Linked DNA regions of Cricetulus griseus. The protein of the gene in region 1 purifies or fractionates together with the protein of each later gene. This does not show direct contact. Links are inferred from orthologs where the notes say so. Each region holds a gene or a part of one and is shown in the gene's direction. Other genes may lie near its edges.

Region 1 (4,265 bases):
GTAGCCCAGACTACCCACAAGACCTCTATGTAGTCCATCTTGAACTCCAATTGGTCATAGCCTTCCCAGTTCTGGGATTATAGGTGTGTACTTTCAAACATGGCTGAACATTTTTACACTAGGAGCTGTAACATGAATTCTAATTGTTCTTAATAAAAACTCAGAGTCAGAAATTGGGGCTGGGGGAAGATCAGAGAAGCAAAGCAGCCAGCCACTAGCTCTTTCTTTTCTTTTAAATTTACTTTATGTGTATTTGTGTGAAGGTGTCAGATCTCCTGGAATTACAGTTGTGAGCTCCTGTGTAGGTGCTGAGAATTGAACCTGGGTCCTCTGGAAGAGCAGCTACTGCTCTTAACAGCTGAGTCATCATCTCTCCAGCCCCCACCAGCCACTAGTTCTTACCTCTACCTCAGACCAAATAGGCGATCCTGACTCCACAAATCCTCAGATTGAAATACTAACTGCCTTAGACTGACCGCTTAGACTGCTAGACTGCCCCAGCTCCTGTCTCCTCCAGCCTTATACTCCTCTCTCCGCCTAGCCATATCCCTTTCTGTCTCCACCTCCTTAGTGCTAGGAGTGCTTTAATCCTATAAAGGTGTGCCACTCCAAGTGCTTCGATCACCTTTGTGTGAGCTCTGTTTCTCTTTTAGACTGGATCAATTTCGTGTAGCTCAGGGTGGCCTTGAACTAACAGAAATCAGTCTTCCTGTCTCACCAATGCTCAGATTAAAGGTGTGCACCACTGCTGCCTGGCCTCTATGGCTAACTAGTGTGACTAGCTTTGCAGTCTGATCTTCAGAAAAGCTTTGTTAGATCATAAACAAAATATTACCACAGGGAGCATTTCTTGGCCAGTGGAGTGTGACAGGTTAATTAGTGGCATTCTGCCTGTTTATAGCAGGCTCTGGAGCCAGGCCATCCAGGGGCATCCCAGCAGAGCTTCCTGTCAGAATGCAGGTAGAAACACCCAAGTGTAACTTGTTATACAATAGGACTAACTACTCTTCACAAAGACTGCTGCAAAACAAGTGTTCAAAAATGTAGATCTTGTTAGTCAAATTATTTTGTGCAGTGGTAAATTTCACCAACCCAACTATTATTTAGTGCAGCTTGTTTCAGATACAAAGCCGGCGGGTCTTTAAGTCGCCACGCTCATGCTTCCGCTCGCCAAACGCCGCAATTACAGGAGTGCACCACACGCCATGAATTTACTGGAGTCTTAGCCAGGCTTTGGAAGCTTCTCATGTTTAACTACTAATGACAGTGGAAGCGCGGTGAGCAACAGGCCGACTTCGGCCAGTGGCCAAGTTCCGCATTGGCGCGAAGCCGGAGTGACTGAAACGTGACGTCATGACACGCCTACAGGCCTTCGTGCAGGCCGCTCCTCTGGGGCCGGGCTACGCGCTGACGCCACACGCCGGGGCGGGGCCGAGAGTTTGGAGCCCGGAGTGGGGTGTCGGCGCCTCACTCGGGTGGAGCAGAACGGGAGACAGGTAACCTTGCGCGGCGGACGGGCTCAGTCCAGTGCTGGGAGGTTCGGCGCTTGACACCCGAGGCTTGCGGCCGAGGGTGAGGCCTACACGCCCTTGCAGCCGGGGCACCTGAGTGACGGGTGTGGAGCCGGACCTAGCCGGGCTGACGGAGGGCGGCGATGGTGGGCGGAGGACGAGGCCTGATGGACAGGCGTCGTAGCCAATGGGGTGGCAGGGTCCGCCTGGCAGGCGGGGATTGGCGAACACGGACGGGCGCCGGGGGTCGCCGGGGCGAGCGCTATTGGCTCTGGCGGCGGAGCTTCGGAGGCGGCGGGCTAGGGTGTCGGTGGCTCGGCGGCCCGGGAGAACCCCAAGGTCGCGGCGCGTCACGTGGTCCGGTCGCTTCCTCCGGCCCGCGCGCGTTCTTTTGTCCTGCGTGCTCTGACCCCAGCAGGCCGCCGTCCTTGTGGTCGCCGCGCCCGGTCACGGCGCTGACCTTGGTGCCTGCGGCAGCCCCACCTGCCGGTATGAGGTAGAACAGGCAACGGGCCAAGGTGACACTGGTTTCCCTAGAAACACCATCCACGCACCGCTTTCCTCGCGAGAGTGTGTGACAGATGTGACTTAATCCGCTGAGTGACTGGGAAGCCCGCTACGTGCTCTCTCGCCTGAGTTAGCAGATCATGTTCCTTTTACCCACCGAGCAGTGTGCCTGTCGCTGAAATGACAAGTTCGGAAAGAGTACTCACGTGGCAGACGCCAGTGTTAAGACAGGAGCCCCGCGGGTAGGGCACAGGAATATCTACAGGGTGAGGTGTGGAGAAGGGGAGTTAAAGGTAATGAGAAGGGAAGGGCTAGGTGTTGTGCGCATGCGTAACCCAACTTCCTGATTCGCTCTGCAGGATCAGAAAATGGCGCCGTTGTCATTGGAGGGTGGAGTTTTAGACCCTTGACGTCAAAAGGTCACTCAAGGAGCACCTCTGCAGGCCCAAGTCAGTGGTGTCACCAGTTTCAATTGAGGCCTCGTGGTACATGAGAACAATTTAGATAGGATGATCCTAAGTCGGAGGTGTTATCTATATATAGCGAAGCCAGTTGGAATGTGCAATTCAGCTTCTTCACCTCTAAGCAGAATCAAGTAACTAAAAACAAAAGTAAGCTTTTTTTTTTTTTCAGATTTTCTGTGGATTTCATTACTCTTACAGGCCCGAATCGTGTCTGTGCATCCCATGCTATGGCACTGAGCAGAGGACACTGTTGGCGTTTGCTAGTTTGCCTGGTCTTGTAGTCCTGCCCTTGAGGTGGCATTAGAATGAGTGACACTGTAATTGACTTTTCTCTTTTTCTAGTCTTTGTCACTTTGCATCCCATATTATGCAGTTTTCTTTTTTATTTAAAAAGTTAACATTTATTTATTCGTATGTAGGGGAACAACATGCTCCTGTGACAGCGCTTGAGTAGGTGTCATATGACAACTTGTGAGACTTGGTTTTCTCCTTTCACCATGTGTGTCCTGGGGATTGAATTTAGGTGGCCAGGTTTGGTGGCACTGTTCAATCTTGGAGGCCCCCCCCCATACGTACACATTTAGGTTTGCTTATCTTTTTGATAGATTGACCTTTTCATTATTTTTCTGTCCCTCTCAGTCTCTGGTAATTGCCTTTTCTTTGCTGTCTGCTTTATTAAATAATAATAGGGCCATTCTTAGAAATATGTGGATTTTTCAAGACAGAGTTTCTCTGTAGCCCTGGCTGTCCGGGAACTCTATCTGTAGACCAGGCTGTCCTTAAACTCACAGAGATCCGCCTGCCTCAGCCTCCCAAGTATTGGGATTAAAGGCGTGGGTCATCTCTACCTGGCATGAAATAATGTGTTTTCAACTTTAGGTTCTGTGTTACTATCTTTGAAGTGATATTGTCGACAAGTATATACTTGATTTTGTTTTATCCACTGCCTGTTGGTCTTCTGATATGTTAGGATTTATAGTGGTATGCTAAAATTTAAGGCTTTCATTTAGCTATTCTAGTTTCATTTCTCTGCTTTCTTTGTACTGACTCTTCTGGGTTACTTTCAGTATACATACAACCAAGGCTCACCTTGAACTCATGATTATCCTCTTGCCTCAGCCTTCTAAATGGTGTTTTCTCTGGTGTTTGACTGCAGTAGGAAAATTGTTTAAATTTTTCATCTTGCTGCTCCTGTCACTATCCTTTGGCTTAAGAGCATAGGCTTTGTGCCTTCTCTTGTCTACATCTGTTGGCATTTCTTTCTTTTTTTTACTTTCCTTTTTTGTTTGTTTGTTTGTTTTGAGACAGGGTTTCTCTGTGTAATAGCTCTGGCTGTCCTGGAACTGGCTCTTATAGACCAGCCTGGCCTCACACTCAGAGAGATCTGCCTGCCTCTGCTTCCCAAGCCCTGGGATTAAAGGCGTGTGCCACCACTGCCCAGCTACTTGTTGGCATTTCTTAGATCTTCTCTATTACTTATTCTGGAACATGTGCCACAAGGGTGGTACTCTTTCAGTGCTCTATCTGAGTCTCTTCAGGTGCCAAGATTCAAGGTTCAAGTTAGTTTGCTTTTTCTGTCAACCTTTTTGAGACTTTTGTTTTATATTTAACATTTATGTTTGTGGCTGAGTTTAGCAGGAAACAAATTCTTTATGTGCTTTAATAAAATGTTGACAGATTATCATGCTTTCTATAAAGATTTCATAATTTTCACTCTTTAAGAACATATTATTTTCAGCTGGGCAGTTGTGGTGCATGCCTTTGATCCCAGCACTCGGGAGGC
Region 2 (3,244 bases), on another chromosome or scaffold:
TTTCTGAGACTGCTGCGTCTGGAATGTTTCTGGGTCACCCACTCCTTTGTACTTCCAAAACCACAGGTCTTCTTTCTGGGGGGAAAAAAAAAAGAAAAGAAATCTTGGGTTTGGTGGACCCATTTAACCCTTGCCTTCACAGCTGCACACCTGGCTTTACACAAAACATGTATTTTTTTTATTTATGGATTTTCAAACAGGTTTTCTCTGTGTAGCCCTTTCTGTTCTGGAATTCTCCATGTATACCAGGCTGGCCTTTACTTGAGAGATCTGCTTGCCTCTATCTCCTGAGTGCTGGGGTTAAAAGTGTACGCCAGCCACCACACCTGGCAGATAGCTTTGAACTCAAAAGATTAATGCCCCCCCACTCCCTCCGACTAGAAATATAAACCAGTGGTAGTGTTTGTCCAGCGTGTTCAGAGCCCTGAGTTTGATAATGATAGTACATGCTATAGTTACAGCATTCGGAAGCAGAGGCCAGAGGGTCAAGAGTGTAGTATCATCCTTGGTTGTACAGTGAGTTTGAGAACAGCCTGTGCTACATGAGACCAGTTGGAAAAACAACATACTTTTTTTTCCTCTTTAAATTGTAATTTCAAGGCTTGGGTGTTGCTCAATAGTAGAGTGCTTGCCTAGCATACCCAAGGCCTGGTGTTAGATGGATCCACAAAATTGAAAAAAATAATAGTGATAACGATTGTAACTTCATCCTGGTTGTGGGGGCGCACACCTTTAATCCCAGTACTCAGGAGGCAGAGGCAGGTGGATCTCTGGGTTCGAGGCCAGCCTGGTCTACAGATCAAGTTCTAGGACAGCTGGGGTGATTCACAGAGAAACCCTGTCTCAAAACAAACACACAAAAAGATTGTAACTTTAGAGTAGCTCCTATAGGCAGCCACAGCAAGAAAAAAACCTTTCAGTAGGTATCAATTTAACGGGTGGAGTGTGGTTATTTGTCTTAAAGCAGTTTGAGGAGCCTGTTTCCTTAGGTAAACCTTGCTTCTGAGTCCCAGAGCTTTGCTCAAAACATAAGCTTGGTCTTCAAAATAAACCCAAGTTACCCAGAGGCAGCACTGGTAGGAGAGACTTGGAACTAGAAACTCTGGTATGGGCTTTGCTTTCTCACCTCTTCCTCTTGACAGGGCTTTCTCTGATCTGTTGGATACAAACCTGTTGCCCTCTCCACTCTACAGGTGGAAGTTCGACCTATGATGTATGTAGCCCTGACCTATGACCACCGGCTGATTGATGGCAGAGAGGCTGTGACTTTCCTCCGAAAAATCAAGGCAGCGGTAGAAGATCCAAGAGTCCTCCTCCTAGACCTTTAGGAGGAAGCCACACACTCTACCTATTGATCATGCAGGAACTGAAAACCAGTCTTCTCCCTGTCCCCTCACCAGTCCCAGGTTAGCCTGATAACAGGCAGGCACATACTGTTGGCCTCAAGCAAGGAAGCCAGAGCACTATGTAACCAGCCTTCCCAGGTCTTAGTGTTCTTTCTAGGCTCTTTCTCTCTCTGTGTGTCACTCTCTTGCCTTCTGATACCTTGGGCCTGAGAGAGAGAGTGAGAGCCTTAATGGATGCTCATTAATATTCCTGTCTTTCTTCCAGCCCTCTGCAAAGACAATTTTCTTCTCCCCAGTAACAGTATACTACCGGGGTACCACCAGGGACCATGTGATTGAATTTCTATCTTTGGAAAGTGTTCTCCAGAGATGCCCAGGGGGTGCTTTGCCTCCCAGGCTCAAAGCTTCTGTCCCAGCTGTGCACATTCTCAGGTGATGCCACCTGTGTGGAGGTATTGGATGCAGGCGAAGAGGCCCTGCATTGCTTCTTAAATGCACCACCATTCTGAGCTGTCCGTGGCTTCATGGTGCCTCTCTACCTCTTCCAGGAAGCACTGGCCGGGGACTTGGGGACAGGCAAGATGGTTACTATTCCAGTCACAGATGGGAGTAGAACCCTGACTTGCCCTCACAGGCTCCATTGTAAGCTCACTGGGAAGATTCATTTTGGCATAATCACATATAACTGTGGTCATACCAACCCTTCCCAGGGTTCTAGGGCTTGTTTTCACTTAGAGCAGACTTTAGCTCATCATGGCAGTGGGTCAGAGCCTGTTAAAGGGACTGACTCTGACCAGATCAGGTTAGCAAGAGCTCTTAAGTCCGAGATGGCCTCAGCATGTGATGGGGAGGGGCTGTTCTCTCCCTTCCTGGGTGTGGCCTGTGGGGAGCGGGGGTCTTGGTGCCTCTGGCAGGACACAGATACAGGGGAGGATAACCTATGGTGGGAACCAGCCTCAGGAGTTAGTACATAGTGGTGAAATGGATGATGTCATCTCTATGGGGACAGGCACAATCATTGGAATTTCTTGAAGCATGGTAAAAGGCAAGTAACAAGGTATGAAAGCTCTTAGGCCTTATATCCAGCTGCACTGAGGCCTGAGACTGCTGACAATTGACAAAGGGCCATTAGTGCTAAATACCCTTTTTTCTTGTAATCCAGGACAAGCTTGGGGGAGGGGGAGAGGCCAGTATTGAGTGCCTGCGGCATCTGCTACTACATCTTCACCATTCGGAACTTGTAACTAAAATATTTAAAGAGACCGATTTTGAATGAAAATTAAAGGGCAAATGTTCTCAAACAGGGTCCCAGCATCTGTGCTCCTTTTGACCCTTGAGGTTGTATAGCCTAGTTGGCAACCACAGTGGTCTTTATCTTTGAAAGCTACTTCATCTTGAGTTGCTATCCTGTGTAGTCCTGAAGCCCCTCTCCCAGTCTTTAAACATGTTAGTGCTGTGCCAATTTAACTAGTAGCCAGGGGAACCCACTAATCTTAGTGCCCTGGGTTCCTTTCAGGGAGCCCTGTGGTTCTGACAAGTCAACTCTTGAAGAGAAATTGTAGCTCCCACCTGTGTGAAGTCCTTTCAAAACACCAAGGGACCGTTGCTTTTTTTGAGGGGCTTGCATTATTTCTGAGAGAGTGGAGAGACATGAATACTTCTAATTTCATTTGGACCTAGTTGCCACATGTGTACCAAGATACTTGTAGTTAGAATGAACAGTAAGAAGTCACCTCTGCAGTAGTGTGTGGGAGGCAGTATGGACAGGACAGGGTTGATCACTGACCTAGAATGGCTATGACGGATAATAGGCATGATGGTGTCTAGGCTTCAATACATCCTTACTTTTCCACACAGAATCCCACCTGTTGATCCCGCTTGCAGCGAGGCCCTCCCTC

What was found.
Region 2: the proteins of Ogdh (region 1) and Dlst fractionate together in Homo sapiens (co-fractionation; 3 studies listed by BioGRID). This does not show direct contact. The link is inferred for Cricetulus griseus from reciprocal best matches to the Homo sapiens genes OGDH and DLST.

Annotation. Positions count from the first base shown.
Region 1 is NW_023276807.1:98,578,519-98,582,783, reverse strand, and holds the start of Ogdh (2-oxoglutarate dehydrogenase, mitochondrial), read left to right. Parts: upstream 1-1,373; 5' UTR 1,374-1,496; intron 1,497-2,170; exon of another isoform or gene 2,171-2,311; intron 2,312-2,439; exon of another isoform or gene 2,440-2,629; intron 2,630-4,265. UniProt on the Homo sapiens protein: 2-oxoglutarate dehydrogenase (E1o) component of the 2-oxoglutarate dehydrogenase complex (OGDHC). Participates in the first step, rate limiting for the overall conversion of 2-oxoglutarate to succinyl-CoA and CO(2) catalyzed by the whole OGDHC.
Region 2 is NC_048598.1:118,638,320-118,641,563, reverse strand, and holds the end of Dlst (dihydrolipoyllysine-residue succinyltransferase component of 2-oxoglutarate dehydrogenase complex, mitochondrial), read left to right. Parts: intron 1-1,193; coding exon 1,194-1,328; 3' UTR 1,329-2,652; downstream 2,653-3,244. UniProt on the Homo sapiens protein: Dihydrolipoamide succinyltransferase (E2) component of the 2-oxoglutarate dehydrogenase complex. The 2-oxoglutarate dehydrogenase complex catalyzes the overall conversion of 2-oxoglutarate to succinyl-CoA and CO(2).